2 linked regions of the Lonchura striata genome follow. The main gene of each other region encodes a partner of the protein of the gene in region 2 in a complex. Links are inferred from orthologs where the notes say so. Each region holds a gene or a part of one and is shown on either strand. Other genes may lie near its edges.

Region 1 (10,956 bases), on a different chromosome or scaffold from region 2:
AAGCATCTGGCGCGAGGCAGCCACTACACAGATCGACTTTATCCAGGCTTATGGGAAAGCACGATGATATGATCACGCCTCAGCAGCAAGCCACGCAGATGCGGGCTGAGGAGGTCAGGGCGACCACTCAGGCTGCCAGGGAGGCTATTCGTGCAGCCTCCCGGGTCGTAGCCAAGCCATCGCCGTGGTCCACCGTGAGGCAGGCAGAGAGCGAAAGCTTCACGCAGTTCGTAGATCGCCTGCAGGCAGCAATAGACTCCTCTACCCTGCCGGCAGAGGCAAAGGGCCCCGTGGTAGCTGACTGCTTGCGCCAGCAGTGCAACTCTGTCACCAAAGATATCTTACGTTCCCTGCCAGCCGGAGCCAGCCTGGCTGACATGATCAGACATGTAGTGAGGGAAGAACACCTGACACCCATTCAGGCAGCCGTCCACACCCTGACCAGTGCCATGGCGTGTTTCAAGTGTGGTGAGGCAGGTCACATCGCGGTGAGCTGTCCCCAGCCGACACGGCAGCCCGCCGCGGCGCCTCCACCCCAAACACGCCAGAGAGGAGCCTGTTGGAGCTGCGGGAGGAAGGGGCATCTGGCCAAGGAATGCAGGTCCCGGCCCCAGGGAAACGGGAGAGGGAGGGGGCGTGCGGGCTGCACCCAGCCTCCTCCCGCTGCAAATGCAAGGCAGCCCATCTATGCCAACCCCCAGTAGGACGGGGCGCCCTTATACCCCGTACCCCCACGGGAGGCAGCCAGCTTCGTACCCTCGCCAGCGAATTTCGCAACACAGCCTGCGGTACCTTCGTACCCACTACTGCCGCAAGCAGCGCCTGTGCCGCAGGGTCAGCAGGGGACGCCCCAGAACGGGACCCCTGGGTGGCCCTGGCCATGAAAATAGGGAAGGAGCCACCGAAGGTGTGGGGGACGTGCCGCCTTTATGGCAGTCAAGACCCCCATGTCATAGGGCTTCAGTTTTGGGCAGACACAGGAGCAGACTGCTCGATTTTTCCCCAAGCACTGTGGCCCCGACACTGGCAATGCAAAGAAGTCCCCCCAGTGAACGGAGCGGGAGGGCCGTCCCGAGCTTGAAAAAGCACCCAATTAATAGCCATAACGCTTCATACAAAAAAGAGACCAGAACAAACAGTAGCAATCCACCCCTACATTTTGCAAAACTCTCCACCCCTGATAAGAAGGGACATCCTTGCTATGTTAGGAGTCAGGATTACAAATTTATAATAAGGGCCACTGCCGTACACCCACTGCTGCCAATCAAACTGACTTAGAAATCACCAGACCCCGTATGGGTCGAGCAGTGGCCCCTGTCAAAGCCTCGAATAGTAGCCTTGCTAGAACTGGTCGACCTCGAGCTGCAAAAGGGTCACATAGAACCCTCCACCAGCCCGTGGAACACCCCTGTGTTTATATACTAGAAACTACCTTTCTAACCCTAAACGAAACCAAACCGAACCTGACTAACTCCTGTTGGCTTTGTTATGATGTTAAACCCCCTTTCTACGAAGGCATTGCTTTAAACACCCCCTTCAGTTACTCCACAGCCAGTGCCCCCCACCAGTGCAGATGGGACACTCCCCGCAGAGGAATCACCCTGAGTCAAATCACAGGACAAGGCAAATGTTTTGGCAATGCAACTTTAGCAAAGCAGAAAGGCAACTTCTGCACTAAAGTTGTCAAGCCCAACAGAAAGATCGGTAAGTGGGTGGTCCCATCCGCATCTGGAATGTAAGTTTGCCAGCGATCCGGAGTGAGTCCTTGTGTGTTCCTTGCCAAATTTAATGACTCTATTAACTTCTGTGTCCAAGTTCTGATTGTTCCTAGGGTCCTATACCACTCAGATGAAGAAGTGTACCACCTTTTCGAAGAACCTGACAGACTGCACAAAAGAGAAATAATCACAGGTATAACTATCGCAATGCTGCTCGGCCTGGGAGCAGCTGGTACAGCCACAGGTGTCTCAGCCATCGCGACCCGACAGCACGGACTCTCTCAGCTGCAAATGACCATCGATGAAGACCTGCAGAGGATCGAGAAATCCATCTCCTATCTAGAGAAATCAGTCTCTTCGCTTTCAGAAGTAGTTTTACAGAATAGGCGAGGACTGGACCTCTTGTTCATGCAACAAGGAGGACTGTGTGCAGCTTTGAAAGAGGAATGCTGCTTTTATGCAGATCATACAGGAGTCGTTAAAGACTCTATGGCAGAACTCCGAGATAGACTGGCTCAAAGAAAGAAAGACAAGGAAACCCAGCAGAGCTGGTTCGAATCCTGGTTCAATCAATCACCTTGGCTCACCACTTTAATTTCTGCCCTGGTAAGTCCACTGGCAATACTGCTTTTAGCTGTTACCATAGGACCATGCCTGCTGAACAAGCTAGTCTCATTTGTTCAGGCCCGTCTAGAACGGGCGAACATTCTGTTCGTGGGCCAGCAACAAATGCTGTAAACCAAAAAGTGCGAACACAATCAGCTGCAAAAGCCTTCAAAACTCACCTTGCGAGATTTACTCAGGTTTACCAAAAACCCTTTTTTCCTTACCAAGTTACAAGTTTGTACCTCACTCCAGTGCCTATATCTACGACTACCTCATGTTACTTATGAAAAGGAGGGGGGAGATGTAGTAGATAGGGACAGGCGAACGGAAGATTTCGGGATGTGACGGAAAGAAAGACCCCTTCCCCCTCTCACCCTGCAACATGTTATCCATTTACCCCAAAGAATGTAACCACACCTAACCCAGTAGTTTTCCACTCCTGACTAACCCTAGAGACCCTACCAACCCCCCCTGACGTAACAGAGTCCCCCAAGACTATTTAAACCCATGAGATAAGATAATAAACGCTTTCGACCGTCCACCACACTGGTGCCTGCGTGTGTCGTTGGCCCGAGTGGCCCAGGGGAGACTGGGCTGCCATGCTGTTCCTTGAAACCAGGTCGCCTTGCCTTCCCCTGAAGGCAACAGGATCAAAAATCTCCAGTGTTGAGATATCTTTGGCTCAGGTGAAGGGTGAAGTAGGGAGAGGACTGGGGTGGTTTGCAGCATGTCTGCCCCCACCATGCTGCACTCTAGAGTGGTCATAGGGGGCTCTAATTATTGTCAATAGGAAATAACCCCAGGAAGGGGTCTGAGTACCAAACTCCATGAAATAGCCCCAGGAAGGGGTCTGAGCACCTAGCTCCCTGCTTGCTGATGTGGATTCTGGGCCAGCTCACCTGCATCATGTAGAAAAATTCTGAAGAGACCTGATCCAGTTGTTCAGTGGGCACATTCTGTCACCTGAGCAAGGCAGTATAGAGACCATAGTGCAAAACACAGCAGAGCATCTTTAGCTGTGAAATCTCATGTTGCTGGAGTCCACAGTGTGTCTGCAGGAGCCATGTCCTTGTAAGAGCAGCAGGAAGAAATGTCATATCCTTGCTAGCACAGGTCTAAGCATCTGGCAATGAGCCTAATTTTCTTTAGAGTTCAGAAGTGAGCTTTTCAGGTAAGCTTATGGGAAGTGACCAGTCATTGCAGGGAATGCCAGCAGCAGGTTTCCATAGTGCCTAATCTGCTGCAGGCCCTTGTGAATTCATTTCAGGCTGTCCCTAGTTAGTGCCAATAGATTCAGTTATTGTAGCACAAAATTGTCATAAATTAAGCACACACAGAGAAATACGATACTTGAGGAAATGGGAGTGATATTCTGTAGGTATTTCCAGTGCATTTTTTGCCCTTGAACTGGTTTCAGGTTTCTTCTGGAGAATGAGTCATCTTTTAGAGGTCTGTGAAGGAATTCCTTGGTCCCAAGCAGGATGTGTTTACACCTGTTAGTGCTCATATCTTTTGTGCAAAACACACTATGACTTACTAGCCTTTGCACTCCAACTGCTCAAGGCAGTGGGAGGAAGGTGTAAAATGAAATTAAATCAGAGTAGTGGTGTTTCATATCAAATTTGAACTGATGCCTGGAGCAATTCCAAGGGCCTGCAGCAGAGAGTCATGACTGAGATTTGCTCTCTAATTGCCCACAGTGTGATGAAATTGTTTCTAGTCTGTGCATAAAGTTGACATGGCCTCTGGAGTCCTGTGAATAGAGCTTTGCATTTGCCTTTGGAAATATTTCTTTATTCAAATAGATATTTCTGAGAAATAGACACAGGGAGGAACATATATTGAGCAAGAGGGTGACTTACCTGTGGCTGTTCTAGGGCACTGATGATTCTGTAGAGGCTGAGTACGTAGCCCTCTTCTCGGTCAGCATTGATCTGGCGGAGAGCCAGGTCTGCAGCCTCCTCCACTGCGGGGTCATCGCAGCGAGGGCAGAGCAGGGCAGCCCCTGCTCCTTGGGCAGGAGGGGCAGCAGTGCAGGAGCAAAGCACCTGTATGCCAAAGAGCATCCAAACAAGCCAAACCATTCTGCCTAGAGAGCCAGTGCTGCAGATGAGGGTGGTCAGTCAGGACAGAGGGGCTGAGACCTGAGTGAGATAACAGATCTTTATAGTGGAGCTGTGTCTCTTTATAAACTTGTGCCCCCTTTTTATTGCATACTGACCATCACCTTTAAACCTACAGCTGCAACAGTAAACACTAAGTCAATGATTACAAGGTTTTACAGAAGTGTTGTTGCTCCCTCTGAGACCAGACAGCACTTTTTCCTTCTGGCTTTCCATCTCTAAATTTGACTTCACTGGGCAGATCATGCAATTTTGACCTCATGGCAAGGTATAAGAATACACACACAAATCTGCTTCCTTAAGAAACCAGATTTGTTTGAATAAATCTCTGTGCAGAACAGGCCTGGCTCCAGTTCTGTTCTGTCAGTGATCCAGTTCTTCTGCCAAATAAAATGAAGACAAGGGTCTCAGTAATTTGAACAGAAAATGGATAAATGCCACAAGGTTGACTGATTTTGCACTTTGTATTTGTTAAGTGACAATTTTAAACCATTACATTGACTCTATTATATGCAGTCAGTTTGGTTGTGATAGAAAGCTCAGTTTGGATTCATGCTGTGAGCATTTCTACTCATCTGGATGCCTACAGTTGAATGCTACCACTTAGCCTTGGAGGCATTGACACCCCTCAAAGGTCATGGCAAATTCTTCCCGGAGAAACTTCAGTTTGAAATGACAGCAGTGTGCCTTGTGAATAACCTGTCAGGAACTCCATGATGGAGACAAGGGGGAATAGCTTTACAAGTAGCTTCTATCTTGAAGATCTGGAGAAGGGGTAGGGACCAGGGACCATTACCTGGAGAGAATCCCAGTTCAATGTCACTGGTTTTCTACTAAGGGGCAATTCTTAAGCATTTCACCTTGAAGGATATCAGAAGCTGGGTCACCAGGTCCCTGGCTCTCATTTTTTGTCATGGGACTCTGTGATTGCACCTTTCTGCTGGAGGACACCAAGTACCTTTAAGTTTGAAAGTTGTATTGAATGAGGAAGAAAAAATGCAAGTGAAGGACATAATTGTCTCTTCAATACTACTATGATATCTGGAGTAGTTAAAGATTTCTACATTGCCACTTTTTTACTGGCTGTGTAAAGAATCTTAGCCCAGAAGTATTTAAACCATCTGGGAGACAGCAGAATATGTCCCAGGGAATGTGCATAGAAAGCTGGGATAATAGATACAGCCAAAAGACCTGCAACAGCACTGGAGCTGAAACTCTTCTAAGAAGACTGTTTGGTGGAAAACCCCGATTGCAGGACAGAAGGGACACATGGCTGCTGGAGTGAGCCCCTCACGTGTCGGGTGAGGGATAATGCACAGACTGTGTCCCAGAGGGATGGGATACAAAGGGTGAATGTTGGGATACAAGGGGTGAATGTTGAGAAACACTGCTGTAGCCATAGTACAGGAACTACAGCAGCAGCAATGCAGACTTGCTCCCATTGTTCCTTGTGCCTGGGGAAGCTTCCCCTGCGGCTAAAGGATAATAACTCATTTTCTTTATCCTTACAGTGCATGGCATTTCTATGGAGATGGGTGCCAGTTAGTACTGGCTGTGTTGGTGCTTCTTATAATAGGGGATTGTTATATCCCTGACTCTGTTCTTTGTACTCTTCCTCTGCCTGGAAAGGAAAAATTTCTCTGTTGAAGTAGCTGACCTCAAAACATGGACACAGCTGGGAAATCCAAGCATGTTCAGCCAAAGCAGCACATGAAGTATATGAGCTTTTGCGAAACAGCTTCTGAAAAAGCTGGAAAAACATTGTTAGCCAGCAATGCAGACCTGGCAAAACTCTTCATGCTACATTTCAAGGAATTGTATTTCATGTACCACCATTTCATATGTCTCATTGCCCAGAGAATCAATTGTTAAGTAGTGAATCTGTTAGTAAGGCCCAGGTGCATGAAAATGGGGCTATACTGGTGGGAGACAAAGTGGTTGCTTTAAAGCAGTCACCGAAAACAGATCTGTAAGGAGGCATGATGTGTCCTTAAGAGGACAAGTGTTAAGGAGAAAGAAAATGAAGTGCAGCTACCAAAATGGAATGCACAGAGAAAATTTTTTTCTTCCTGTTTTAGAAAGCAAGGGATTGTTTCACCAGGTATAGAACATCTGTGAAGTATGGAGACTGCAGATGTTTCTGCTACATATCTTTTCTTTATGTGGTTTGAAAAGGCAACAAGAAAATGCAGCATTTCTGGATTTCAGGGAACCTCAGGGGCAGGGATCCCTTCTATAAACATTGTTTCTGCTATAAGAAGATTTTCTAAGCCTGGAAAACATTCTCTCTTCTATGAATTAGTTTCTATTTCATTATATAGAAGACAATTTCTATGGTTTAGTAATGGTGATTCCTAGTTTTGAAAAGTTTCATGTATCTGGTGTCACAGTGATGCAAAACAAAATAGTTGCAGTTTCATTAAATCCTGTGCTGTGTCTCATGCAGTGAGATAGGAAGACCTCCTATCTTACTGCATTAAGAGATTTCTACAGCTTAATATTAGCACTTTTTGATGGAATGGCTGCATGCAGGTTATACTGGAGTCTCTGCTCTACAGAGAAGCAAAACCTCCCTGAGCCACTGACTGGCTGTGGCTGGTGCATTTGCCCACAACATGCTTCCTGCAAAACTCAGCATTTGCTTGAAATGTGAGAGCAGCTATCTTCACAGGCAGAGCTTGCCCTCAGTGTGCTCCCATAACATTAGGCTGTGGTTTATAGAGTCTGGGCTGATTTTCCTTTTCTTTACACACCCAGCTGAAGCACTGGTGCAAATGCCAATGATTTACCCCTTCCCCATTGACACAGCAGAGCAGAACCTTTCTGTATTGTGAGCTGTTGCACTAGCACCAAGAGCAAGTGTTAGTTGTGTTGCTTACTAAGTACTGGATGATTGTAACTAGGAGAACAGGACAGGTTATTTGAAAGAGTTCAGAAATGACATGTGTTCTGCAATTTTTTGCTGCCTGCATGATAATTATCTTGTAGCAAGTGCTGTTCCTGGTTAAACATTCATGACTGTCTTTGAGACTGTTCCCCAGGGCCTGCAGAATTCCAGTCTGGCTGGCAGTAAAGATCCTTCTGGCCCCAGCCCCTTATTAATTCTCTACCTAGAATAGATTCTGCCTCTAACATGTGCCAGAAATTCAGAGAAGATTTGACTACTACAATAATGGTAAATTGCCATCCCTGTCAGGGTCCTGTTATATGAGATACATGCCAGTCATATATTTTTTATTCCCTTGAATTGGCACTTCCTCATATGCACACAGACCGTGCAGGACCCCATGATTATACTGCACCTGTGTGTCTGCTGGAAGACAGACAATACACATGTGTTTGGTTGCAGGGATTGATGCTTTCAGCCTGCCAGCAATGACAGTGTCCTCCTGACTCTCTGCTCTTTTCATAGACATGGATGCTCTTGTGCCATGTCCAAAAGTTTTGAGGTACTTCTGGTGCATATCAAAAGTAGGTACATGGTGGGAAACATTATAAGTGGAAGGGAAAAGTACTTTTTTTCCTGCCACCTCTTTAATGTTACTGGTGTGTGATCAAAAGGGAGGACTGACCTGATTTTCCGCAGTGCTCAGCACCCACACATCCCAGTGAAGCTGATCAGAAGTGCAGGAGCTTAGTGTTTTTGAAATCAAGCCCAGAATATGACTCATAATGCTGTGAAGGAGATACTTGACAACTAAATGAATATATATACAGATAGAAGGTAGCAAAGCTTTGAACATTTTATTGTGAACTAACCTTTCAGGTGGTTCTTCTGTCACAAAGCTACAACTGTTGTACAGCTCTTACAACAGTTTCACTGAAACAATATTTTCTGTATTTTAACTAGAGAAGCCCTCTATGTAAAGTAAACTACGGCTATATATTGTAATCATCTATATTTTGGAGCAGGCCTTTACAAGACTCTGGCCATGGCTCTGCTCTCTGGAGAGTAAAACTCATTCAGGCTCAGAGTCAAGCGTTCTCACCCATTTGTAGTCGATATTGTGGTCTGTGTGTTGCTGTTGCACTGATCCCTCAGTTTGGCTGCACTGCATATCTGAAACACAGCCTAGATATCGAAATGGCGAATCTTCCCAGGGCAGGGAGGAGGAAGAGGCACAAAGCCAACTGGGCGAGGTACTTTGTCATGCTGAGCAGCCACTGCAATTGCTCTCTTTGTTACTGATTTTGCTGCGAGCGCGGAACGCAAAATTTCTGAAGAGCTGGATTCGGATGCAACGGGGTTATTGTGGAAAAGCCCAAGATTATGGTTTGTGACACCTACAGCACTGGGTGCCAGTCCTGCTGATGTGTCTTGACCTGGATGAGCGTAGGTAACTCCAGGCTGGAAAATAAAAACAGGTCATGTTTGTTTTCAGGGACCTGGGGCTTTTCACATACAGGTAATTGATACCTTACTAAGTACCCTGCTCCTAAATAGCTATAGGCCTGCAACCCAGGTTCAAATGTTCCTGACTATCACAGAAGTCTGATTTGCATTGGAACCCATGCACAAGAACCCAGGAACACATTTTTTATAGCCAATGAATCATTAGGACCAAATTCTGTGCTATATGATATTTCAGAGCCACCTGCACAGCTGATGAAACATTCAAGACCAGCTGTCTCATTCTCTTTTTCCCATACCTTTTAATTAATTACTGTTGAGCTACCAAGACCTGTTGTCCATAGGAAGTGTTCAACCACCACCTAGTCCTCCTGAGACCAAATGTAGGCTAAAATACCTGAGAGTACTCAGGTCAGGTGCACATTTCCCTCCCCTTGCTACAGCAGTGCAGGACAAGGTCCCTGAATTCAGTCATGTCTAAGCACTAAAAGCCTCCAGCCTCGCAATGCTGATTTTTGTTTTACATTTTTCTGCCCCTTCCCTTTAACTGAGCAGAGTTTGGTTCCCTTTGCCCTGACAGACATGTGAATCTCTCAGATGGTCAAGAGGGCAAATTGTGTCAAGCATGGATGGCAGACATGGCTTAATTCCCAGCACAGAAATCCATGGGATACTCAGCAGCTACCTTGCCTTGGCTTTTAGGATACAAAGTTAAGTTATCACAGGTGGCCAATGCAGTCTACAATGAGAGAAGTAAACTCAAGATGATGCCATGTAACAGTACCAGTAGGCTAGAATGCCCAGGAAAGCAAGGGAATATCTGGAGCTGGTACCTGATGTCCATACAACTGGCAGTCCACCTGAAGGTCTTGTGAGGGACGTTTTACCATCACTGCTGTGCAGAAACCAAAATTCTGGCAAAATAGAACATAGTTAAGAGAAAATAGTTAGAAGATAGAGGGAAGCTGGATCAGAATTTTTAATTTCAGCACATTTAGAAATGGCAACTTTTTCTTGTGTTTTATCTGAGCAGCAAAGTGCTTGGTTTTTAGCCTGCTGGGCTCAAAAAAAACCCCAAAAAAACAAAAAAACAAACAAAAAAAACCCCCAAAAAAAAACCTCTTTAAATGCCTAAGCAGCAAATAAGGGAAACTCCTGTGTTCTTCTATAGTATGATCCTTTGTATGTCTGGATATGAGGGAAGGAAAGAATATATAAGAATCTAGATAAAGAGCTCCCACCCCCTAAAACTGCTTAGGACTCAGTCCCATCAGAAATAGAAGAATTTTGACATAAAAAGTATACAGTATAACTCTCAAGAGCATATATATCAGAACTGAGTGCACTGATATTGTAAGAGGGAGAAATGGTCTGCTTTTTTTTTTTAATGTGACAGTGTACTGTCCAATACAAAAAGCCTGATTTTCTCAGGTGCTCATTTTAAGAATAAACAATAATATATAGTCTATCCATTAAAAATATTCTGTCTCTGATCCTCAAGCTTTTTTCAAATGTATTCAAATCCATGAGAATTCAGTCCAAATACCTCAGAGAAAAGAGAAAGGTGTGATATAGCTTTAAGAATGATATATTGAAAAACATATCATGATGGTACACATCTCTTGCACTTTGATCCCCACAGGGGTTTATTCCTGCTCCAGCGAATGCACATCCCAGCATGAGGCTGCTTTTGTAGCTCAGAGCTGGGGAGGCTGGGGCTGATGTGCTGCCATACTCACAGACTGATCCTCGGGCAGCAGCTGACAAGCCCCCACGTTGGCTTTAGCTTCTTCTGCAGAGCAGTTCGTGGCACCCACAGCAAACTCAGTAACAACAACGTGTCCTGGGTGATACTGATAAAACAGGAAAAATGTTTGATTGACTTTGCACTCAGAAACTGCAGAGCTGCTGAGAAAAGATAAAAGGCAAATGTTGTGGCTTCATCTCCCACTGGAGTGAAAGGGAATCCTGTGGCTAAAATGACACATAATAGTTGGGAAATTAAAAGCAGATCAGGAGGGCGAATTAAAGCAAGCAAATTGTGTCTGTTTGCAAACATAACTAGGTAGCAGCGCACAGTTACTGTAGATGAAGTATTATGTTTACGTGAAAGGCTAGACATAACTGTAGAAATTACCTGTATTTTGGCTCTTCCAAT
Region 2 (10,574 bases):
AAGTCCAAATGTCAGTAAAAGAGGATAAAGTGCAGTTGCACTCACCTCAAAAAAGCACAACACACCACAGGCAGAACACAAACACAGGTTTGAACTCCTGGGAGCAGCATGGAAGAAAAAGTGTGAATGGTTTTACTTTCCTTGACTAATCTTTACTAAAATAATGACAGTGAGAAGAGCCAAAAAGGGATGAGAAGGGAATAAACTGATTGTGTTTATCTGCACACCACAGGTCCTGTCCCATACCTATTCAAGCACATTTGAGAAGGGTTTTTGTGAGTTTAGAGACATAAGGGAGATAAACCAGCATGGCTCAAGTATAACCAAAGAAACTTGTTTGCCATGGTTAAATTCTGACTTACTGCAGTTGTACATGCGATTCAATCTTTCCAGATCAATGGCACTGAAGTCTAGACGTTGTCCAATTATGTCATCAAACTCTGGTATCTTTGCTGTGATTGTGGGGACACTTTGATTTTTGTTAAATGAAAGGGGTTCATAGTGCATCAATGATTCGTAGTCATAGGGGGTGTTCAGATCAGTGATGAAGGTGTCATCATACTTCACAAAATTGTGCTCTTGGCCTGGTAAAAGAACAGAAAAGTGCTTCCTTTTTAGAGAAAATGGAAAGGAAATTACATTACCATGTACCCTTGGATACAGTTTTCTAAGGCACAAATTATATACCCCAAAGCAATTACTTCACAACAAAATATTAAAACTTAGCAAGATTTGTGTTTGACATTTGGACAACAAAGCAGTGCCTTTGGATTGCAGCTCTGTGCTCTAACAGGTGACTTCAGTAAATTAAAAAATGAGTATCAATGAGCTGTAAAGAATGGGATATAAAGGAGGATAGATTAGAATTAATAGGAATGGTTTAACAGTAATGATCCTGAAAGATTAAGTTTAGGGACTAATGTACTCCATTCCAGAATCTGTGAATATTGATTCAAACATTTTCCAGGTATTGGATCATATATGGAGAAGGAGAGGCCCTGAAACTCAAAGGAAAAAAATATGACAGCCTGGAAGTGTCTTCAGGTTTGGTTCTTCCTTGAAATAAATAATGCCCTAGCAATTTCTGGGGAAAAAAGAAGGATATTTTTACCCTAGATTTACAATATTGATATGATATTTGTATTGATATGGCTTTTGGAAACATGTTTCTCATGTTTTCTTGGTGAAATAAGTTGTCCTTAGAGAAAGGTGTGTGCTAGGGCAAAGAGAGGGAGCCATTTCACATGCTTTGGTATAGAAGTAAAAAGAGCTTGCCAGCTTTTACTATCGCAAATAATGTTATCAGAATATTTGACACTGTTTTTCAAAGACAAAACAGCACATGACTGTGGTGGTTAACTACACTTGCTCTGCTTAACAGTTGCCCTCCCTTCTGCAAATCACAAAGATCTTCAGTTCAAGGCTTGAGATTATATAAGAGCTTGGAATTGTTTTCTTACAGAGACTTGAATTGCACCTTTTATCAAAAATTAAAAGAACCCCCTCTCTTTTATTTTGTCCTCTTCAAATAAGTCATTGTTATATAATACAGAATCAGATCTTACAGAGAACAACAGGAAAAACTGTCTAGGGATCAGGGGGACTGTGAAGAGTTTGCTGAAACTCATAAAGCTCCTAAATATGGTGATACTAAACCTGAAGGCAAGAACCTGCAGACACACCGGGTAGGAGGGAGCAGGACAGAACCCTATTTGATATTTCCCATACAATCTAATTATTTTAAGGGCTTTTTCACGTGCAAAGTGAATATTTTCAGTTTCAGGAAAGCCGGAGTCTCTGAATATAAAAACCTTTCAGATTTTGAAAGGATCATTGCCTACAGAAGAACTATCTCAAAACTCATCATCTAAATAAGTTTACAATTTACATTACATGATTAAAGGAAACAGATTCATAGATGGCAAGTAATTAGTTTAAAATAAGAGAGCAGAGCATTCCAAGAGCCAAGGGGAAATAAAAGTCCTGATTTCCAAGTGAGGCCTCTCTGTTCTGGCCTTAAACAATGTCTGGGTTTGACCAGAGAAGTTGCACCAAAATTTCTTAATTTAGTGTTCTCAGGTGCGGCCCACTGAAATTCTAAATTTTCTAAAATTCTATCCTTAGGAAGGTCTTTAAATCTAGAAGTGAAAATGGGGTATTGATAAATCTACACTTTGCAAAATCTATCTTGAACGATAAAACCCACCTGCAATAATTTCATCCCACCAGATATTCACGTAGTCATCCCGGTCCATCCTCGACTGCTCATGGTAAAATCCTAAAGCGTGCAGGATCTCATGTTCCACAATTGCTCTGTAGTCACACCCTGACCCAATCGAGAGGTTCTGTCCAGTCTGCAGGTCCCCCACCATGGACCAACACCTAAGAAAGACAGAGAGTTTACTCTCTGTTCAGTAGTTTTCTTCTCTGTGTTTAACTTTTCAATTTGCTCACTGGATTTAGAGTAAGATTATAGAAGTTTTCAATATTAAAGGAATCACATAAATCATTATTTGGATGCTGACCATGTGCCTTGATATTCTAAAAATACTCTAGCCTGAAAGCAGACTAATGCCCAGAAACTATCACTTCATTACTTATCCTCTGTGTCAGAGAAGATCACCCTGCACTTTTGAAAGCCACAGAAGTTTTGATCAGCCACCATCTGGCCAAGAAGCATAAAGCACACAATATACATGGAAATAGTAAATTCATCAAAACAGGCTGAGCGTTTTTGCAATAACTTGGGCTGGAGAAAAGACCCCAGGAGTATTTGGAACAGCAACATTTGGTCCTTTTTAACAGCAACCGTGTTTTGCATTTGCCAGAGGTATGAAAGGACATTTCTAGTATTAAGATCTTCAATGCTGACTTGTCAAAAATCATGGTGCTTGTAAACTTTTAAAAGAAGTGTCATAGGACACTCAAGGAAGAGCTGAAGGCAGAAACATGAACTTCTGGGGGAAAAAGTAATAGTCACAGCTGATACAGTGAGAAGATTTTTGTGCTTTTCTGCATTTTCTTTCAAAACATACTTAGCTGTAGGAAACAAATCCTTTCACTTCTTGAAAACTTGAATCTCTGTGCATAAAACCCTTTCAGAATTTGAGAGACTATTCATTAAAGAAGAGCCATGTCAAAGCAATAAGAAATATTACAATAAATTCTCTTCTCTTCTCTTCTCTTCTCTTCTCTTCTCTTCTCTTCTCTTCTCTTCTCTTCTCTTCTCTTCTCTTCTCTTCTCTTCTCTTCTCTTCTCTTCTCTTCTCTTCTCTTCTTCTCTTCTCTTCTCTTCTCTTCTCTTCTCTTCTCTTCTCTTCTCTTCTCTTCTCTTCTCTTCTCTTCTCTTCTCTTCTCTTCTCTTCTCTTCTCTCCTCTCCTCTCCTCTCCTCTCCTCTCCTCTCCTCTCCTCTCCTCTCCTCTCCCTCTCCCTCTCCCTCTCCCTCTCCCTCTCCCTCTCCCTCTCCCTCTCCCTCTCCCTCTCCCTCTCCCTCTCCCTCTCCCTCTCCCTCTCCCTCTCCTCTTCCCATCTTCTAATAATTTCCAGACTTAAATTCTAGCTATTCACATTCACATTCTTGGTAAGTTAAAAGGATGTACACGGAGGTCTTCATCAAAATGGAAAACCCAGACAGGCTGGGATTCACCTTCAGAGCTCATCCTCTAAATAACAGCAGAGGGAGCAGCTGCTTGCAAGGTTTTAGTCTAAGAACATAGAATGAGTTCTTTTCCCGGTGGCTTCTTTTTCTCCGCTGACAGCAAACCTTTAGAAAATGGAATGAGTTCCCAGCTGATTCTACACGGCAAAACTAAACAGAAATTGATACTACCCTTACCCATCTTGTTTCCTAAAGAAAATGTAGGTTCTTTCTCCTTCATATGGCTTGAAATCAATGCAGGACTTCAGGCGGAACATTTCAAATGCCTGGAGAATGACTCCTTTGGCATTCAGGTCTGGAAAACAAGGACAGAACCTTTAATACATTGCAGTTTGTTCACCTTGGATGGGGCAAAATATGTACAGATACACATGTGGAACCAAAGGAAAAATGATTGAAAAGAGAAATTATTTAATTTGACTAAGTTATGGTTTGCTGTGTTATCTGTAGAAGAAAGAAAAATAATTTTGATATAAACAAGACTACAATAAGTAGTTATTAGTGAAGTTTAACATTTTTAATTTGAAACAGTTCTGAAAAAGGCAAATTTTTTATCACAGTGACTGTAGTGCAAATAAGGATTGGAGATAAAATCTGAATAAAGTATCTGCATTACCTAGGTCATCACCCAGAATATAGGGAATGGGGAACTTCCATCTGTAAGCCTCATTTCTTAAGGCATTTCGCTGATTTTTCTGAAAAGGGAATTAACAGTTGGTGATGCATCTACTGTAGCGAGATGAGCTGAAACAATTAGGACAAGCAACAGAAAGTTTTTAATTACTTACAGGGAGCAAGATATCACCCTGAAAGAGGTCCAGTCCAGCAGCTGAAATAGAATTTAATCAAAGATAGTGTCAATGAATTTCAATTATATTTCATTCCATAAACCACATTGAACCTGCTTATACAAAGTTAATGTCCTTGGGCATCTACAGAAGATAAATAAGGACCAGCCTCTATACACTGAGTTACAGGTAATAATAAAAGTGTTGGCACAATTACCTATGGTCATGGATAGAGCTTTGATGAGCTCTGCTTGCTCTCAGGCAGTGACAAGAGTCACACAATTGGACAGTGACCAATCTAAGTTGTTTTCCATGTTTACAACACTTTATAAAAATCATATGGAGATGGGCAGAAAATGCAGTTGAGACTGCAGAGTTCTTTCTGGAAATATTCAGGTGTCACAGAGAGAGAAATGTAATCCTTGCGCACTTGATTTTAATTCTCTTGTTACCATGAGCTACCTGGCTATCAGCCTCCTTGACAACACTGAAAACTCAGCATAATGCTCACAACTTTTCAGGCCTTGTGAGAATTTAAGTGTGAACTCACCCAAGTTGATTTGGGGAATGTCTTTGAATATCTCACTAGCTCCAGCATCTGCAAGACAGTCAAAACATAAAGTGTTTGGATGTGGTGGCTCACAGCAAGTAGAAGGAAATGCTTCAAAACTCAAACCAGCTCACACAGCACTTACCAGTTTCACTGGAGAGCTGTCCCACCTGGAGAAGAATGGAATACAACCCGTATAAGGTATGAGATGCCTCTGGACTGAGAGGAGCCTGTAGAATTAGGTTTTACTTACAGAGAGTGGAGAACCATAGACAGAACACAGCAGAAGTGTCAGGCAGAGTGGGAAGATGCTGGAGCCCATTCTTGCAATGGGAACAGAAGCTGGTCCCTCTCTTCTCTGGCAATATATAGGGCACGTTGCTGAGCTTTCCATGGAGCATCAGCCAATAAGCATCAGACTTTCCACCTTTGAAATATTATTCTACCAGTTAGATTTTCTCCTAGATGGCACCTAATGGCATTGGTCTTATCAGCTACCTAAGTCCACTTGGTGGAACATTGCAGAGAGGAATGTGGAAACTTCATGTCTTCAGTGCAGCAGGTGAAAGACCCACCCAGGCTTCACATAACAGCTTCTCCATCTGGCCCAAAGTTGCTGACTCCTTCCCCTGTGTTTGTTATCTGTCAGCATTATGATCTTGACTGCACAGGAAAAAAGCAGAAATGTTTTGGATTACTCTTAAGCAGAATTACTCCAGGTTTATAGCACTTCAGTGCCATTATAATTTGGCACAGTTCTGCTTTCAAATAATAATTAACACTACATTGTAAAGATTAGAAGTAAGAGAGATATGATTATGAGTCCCCTGAAATGTCTTTCCTCACCTGATCCCACCCCAGATCTAATGCTCCATGCACAACCTGCCACTCCCTGCCTCCAGAACAGTCACTTTAGAGCAGTAATCCTTGGCCTTCCAGGTGGGCTTCAGAGATCATAAACTCTTGTCCTGCATCTTGCTATCTTCTTTCTCAGGGACGTGGGTCAGGAAGGGCTCCATGGAACTCTAGTTTGCTGTGCATCAATATTCCCACAGCTCCCATGTGCCCTGGAGTGCCTGAGTGCCTCTAGTTTAGGCATAGAATCCTGCTCCTCCATTTCACATCTGCAATTCCAAGTCATGCATGTGAGGATGTTCACCTCTGTGTTCAGCAATTAGATAGAAAAGGGCTTGTGCCATGACACCACTACCCACAGCACAAGGCAGAGAGCTTGAGTAAGTAGGTTTTAAATAGGAAATGGGCCTGTTCTAGAAAGAAGTCAGTCCTTCAAGCTAAGCTACATATTTTTCTCTAAACAAATCAAAGTAGGAATCGATTCATAAGAGATAGCACTTCAGAGGAAAAAGTGCAGAGATCTTTTCTTGTTTAGAGAAGAAGGGCCCCAGAGCACTAATCCTTCACCTAACATAAATGAATGTTCTTCAACACTTTCTTTTAGGAATGATTGTTGCTGACACCTAAGCTGAACAGGTCTTACTACTCGTAAAATAAGCATGTCTCAAGATACATCATGTCAAGGCTGTTTTCACAGGCGAGCAAAGAGAATCAAAACAGAGCACCAAGGCCATATTTCCAGATGTTTGGCAGTGGATATGAGAAAGTAAGCAAAAAATAAAAAAATGAAGCAAAAGTAGAGCTGTCTGAAAAACATTTGGGTTTTAGTACCCTTAACTTTAAAATAACTCAAGCACCTAAAGCAGATGTCTAAAGATAAGTCATTCTGAGGGCATATATTTGTTTTCATATATATATAGGGGTTCTCTTGGATGCCTTTTAGGCACTGGCCTAGGCTCTAAGGTCTCCCTGGAGCCTTCTCTTCTCCAGGCTGAACAGCCCCAGATCCCAGCCTGTCTCCATAGCAGAGGGACTCCAGCGCCAGTTTCATTTTGTCCTCCCTGAAAGAGCAGTGCATGCACATTATTCCATTAGCTGCAGTTCTGTGAAAACTTGGTGATGGGTAAAGCTGCTTCTATTCCACTCTGGGAAGTACAGCAGGTACCCCTTGGTCTCTTACACTACATTGTATGAAGTGCCCAAAACTGCTGTGCATCAGTATTCCCACAGACAAGGTCCACCCTGGATTCCTAGACACAGGCACTACCCGGTGTCACTAAATGCAGATAATACCTTTTGTTAATCTGCTTGCGCTGGTTTTAACTCCACAGTAACACAGAAAAACTCCGACACAGAAATGTGGCTGAAATTTATTTCCTTCATAAAAGCAAGAACAAAAACAAATGTCTCCTGAGCTCAAAAAACTAGCACTCATATCAGGCTGGCACCAACCACATTTTTTAATAAAAAAAATTACCCATCCACCTTCCCAATTTTTAGGTAAGTCTGTTTACCGTTGCAGGGCTTGAAATCAACAAAAGACTGAACTTGTGAAATGCCTCCAGGTTAACAACTTCAGCATTCAGATCTGAAATACACAGCAGAGGATAAAAACAGTGGTTGCTCTGCTTTTAAAGTATTATAAATATCTGTAATTCTAGATAGAAAGAATGAATAAGTGTACATTAAAAATATGAGCATATATAAAAATATCTGCCTGGATGAAAGAGCAGAAAGGTGTTAGCAAAATTCCCTACCTGGAGTAGTTTTGGAAAAGGTCATAGAGAGATAATATCTTATTAGATAAACTGATAGTGCTGAGACAAACAAGCAGGCTTTTGGACATTCAGGGCATTGTTCAGGTACCAGTGGAAAATTTTATTGCATGTTATAATGTAATCTGAAATGTTGTCAACTTGGAGCTCAGGACCAGTAAAAGAAAATACAGGACAGATACATTTGATTCTAAAATTAGTGTACCATTTATTTTTAGTCCTGTATTATTCAAAACTTAAAATAGTATATAAATTCAGATAGCAACAAAGATAATGCCCTAAACTACTTAGAAAATATCTATATATTCTCTTGGCCTGTACTGAGCTCATACTGGTAGGAAGAGACAAAACACAAAGGGTAGAGCAGATCAATATGAAGGTATTTCAGAATTGGATTCCCTGACTTGATTACTCACCCCACTGCCCTGGCTGTGCTTTGCTCAGTGCAAGCTCCACTCTGAGAGATCATCATTGGTGACAAAGAGACAGAATAACCCAGATCCTCAAGCCTGACACTGATCAAACAGGGATCACTCTCAAAATCACAGCACTCTCCACCACAGAAAAACATCTCTGCTGTTTGTGTCACCCAACACACGCCCCAAAACCAACATTCAAATAGTCAAGAGTGACACTGGCCCCAAGTAAGGGGATACCCAGCACATTTACATCCCTGCACCTGCCCTGCTAAAATCCCCCCAGCAGCAGCAGCAAAAGCAGCAGCAGCAGCAGCAGCAGCAGCAGCAGCAGCAGGAGCAGCAGCTCTGTCAAGCTCCTCTTGCCACCCCTGACACTCCACAAGAGCAGCCACTGACCGGCCTCAGGCTCTGCTGCCACAGCGCCCTTGGCCAGCACAGCTCTGCTCCCCAGCTCACAGCATGGAAGCTTGTCACTCTTCACAGAAATCCAATGTCACTTCATATGGGATCATGGCTTTCGCCATCATCTCCCTGGAGGTGTTTGCTGGCGTGTGGATAAATGCTTTTATCATTTGTGTGCTTTGCATTGCCTGGGTCAAAAAGAAAACACTGAACTCAAATGAGAAGATCTTGCTGCTGCTGGGATGCTCCAGGATTTCCTTTTTGTGCTTCTCATGGGTAAACTACTTCCTTTCAATAATTTGTCCCAATTACCTTTATGTTCGCCCGATATTTCAAGTACTTGCATCTTCCTTAACCTTTTTTAATTATTCCAGCTTGTGGGTTTCAGCCTGTCTTTGTGGTTTCTACTGCATAAAAATTGCCAATTTCAGGAACCGGTTCTTCATCTACCTGAAAGTAAAAATTGACAGGATGGTGCCCTGGCTCTTGTTGGGGTCAGAGATTTTAGCCTTGGCAAGTTGCATTGTTATCTATGACATCGCTGAAATTCTGCAGAGTGGCAACTTCACTTTCACCTCCCAAGAAAATTTTTGGGAAGCAAGAATCACAACAGATAAACATTTTTTTCTCATCTTTGTTCCTTGCTGGCTTTGGATATGCTGCTTCATTCATGGCAGTCATCTTTTCTGCTGTTTTCCTTCTCTTTTCTCTCTGGAGACACAAGCGCAAGATGCAGACAAACTCCATGAAGGACCTCAGCGTGGATGCCCACATCAGAGCCATGAAATCTGTCCTCTCCTTCTTAGTGATGTACAGCATCAACTTTGTATGTTTGGTCTTAACAATAATTTATTCCATGAAGAGTGAAAATACCATGATACTTCTTATATCCATATATCTGTGTGCTTTTCCAGATATTCATTCCCTTATTCTGGTTTTCAGCAATCCCAAGCTGGAAAAGGCACTGCTGAAGATTCTCTCCTATGTAAAGTGCAAGTTTTCCACAAAGTAGGAACTGTGATAAAAGCTGGAGCCCATGCAAAATGTTGATCTTTCACTGTAGAAAACAAGTAATTGAATTTTTGCTGCAGCTCTCCAGGCAGTGTAGATGATTCTGATGCTCAGTCTTCAACATCCAAGTTAATAACGTTTCATTCATATCTATTGACCTCAATTATTTTGAGCTAAATAGATTATTATCATTTTTAGATTTAGCTAAATCTTTGAGATAAATTTTTGTTGTTAACAAAGTCATTTAGCCCTGATGGTAGGAATGATGCCTAAGCCCCTGTGTGGTTAAAGGATTAATGTGGACATGAGAGCCTGCTGGTGGGGGGATGGATCATCAGGCAGAGGCCCTTAACCTCTGCCTGAGCTCAGTGGGGTGATGCTAATTAGGTGTTCAGCCTCTGCCCAAGACTCACAGCTTTGCAATCAGAACCCTGGGTATCCCTCATCTCCATAGCAGCTGGCTGCCCACCACCATTTACCACGGCAGCAATAATGTATTCTGACTGCAGCTTCACCTGCACTTCTCCCAAGAGTATAGACTTGGCATTTGAAATCCTCCCTGGCAGAGGATGAGAATATTACCCCACTGTGCAGACAGGACAACAGGATTGGTTCACTCTCCTCCCCAAGGCAGGGAACATCTCTTTGTTGAGATTTGCTCTTTCAACTGTGTCAGATTGTACCCTGGTGAAATTCTGTTCACAGGCCTAGCTGATGGTGAAGTTGTGCTTAATGAATTACCCATTCCTCTTATGTTTTTTCTTCTTCTCTTTTTCTAAATATATTTAGAGCTAATCCAATGAGTGTATTTATTAGTGGCAATTCTCAATTTGTATTTCTACAATAAAATGCATTATTTGTGATTCTGTGACTCTGAAAGTTCTTATTGAACATGACAAGACTTATGCGCTGAATTTGTCATAATCAGAAATTAAGCCGAGCTGCACCCATACCCTTTGATCTCTGAAGACCAGCAAGGGCTTTATTTTCTACCAAATTTCTATACTCTTAATGGAACAGAAAAATATCCAACACTGGTACACAAACTGGCTGCAAAAAATGAAATAACAATACTGCAAACCTGCCACAAATATTTTGGTATTCACTGAGTGAAA

Evidence for each region.
Region 1: the proteins of MEP1A (region 2) and FETUB are in contact, whole or in part, in a cryo-EM structure (PDB 7UAI), measured with the Homo sapiens proteins. The link is inferred for Lonchura striata from reciprocal best matches to the Homo sapiens genes MEP1A and FETUB. Residues at the interface, in NP_005579.2 of Homo sapiens: Asp126, Gly127, Cys128, Trp129, Ser130, Glu131, Val132, Gln145, Gly146, Cys147, Tyr149, Ile152, His155, Glu156, His159, Tyr164, His165, Gln167, Ser168, Leu184, Gly186, Tyr187, His189, Asn190, Asp192, Tyr194, Tyr214, Gln215, Phe217, Ser218; in NP_001362516.1 of Homo sapiens: Phe109, Phe110, Lys144, Lys145, Tyr148, Met149, Thr150, Cys151, Pro152, Asp153, Cys154, Pro155, Ser156, Ser157, Ile158, Ser196, Ser197, Gln198, Trp199, Val200, Val201, Gly202, Tyr205, Phe206, Thr242, His245, Trp246, Phe249, Val250, Ser251.

Annotation. Positions count from the first base shown.
Region 1 is NC_134612.1:18,862,353-18,873,308, reverse strand, and holds the start of FETUB (fetuin-B), read right to left. Parts: upstream 4,563-10,956; 5' UTR 4,409-4,562; coding exon 4,187-4,408; intron 1-4,186. Other genes in the region: AHSG (alpha-2-HS-glycoprotein), read right to left, coding at 8,520-8,795, 9,632-9,712, 10,538-10,651, 10,936-10,956. UniProt on the Homo sapiens protein: Protease inhibitor required for egg fertilization.
Region 2 is NC_134605.1:108,042,916-108,053,489, forward strand, and holds the start of MEP1A (meprin A subunit alpha), read right to left. Parts: upstream 5,320-10,574; coding exon 5,251-5,319; intron 5,168-5,250; coding exon 5,143-5,167; intron 5,046-5,142; coding exon 4,998-5,045; intron 4,489-4,997; coding exon 4,448-4,488; intron 4,355-4,447; coding exon 4,276-4,354; intron 3,955-4,275; coding exon 3,837-3,954; intron 2,383-3,836; coding exon 2,207-2,382; intron 585-2,206; coding exon 363-584; intron 1-362.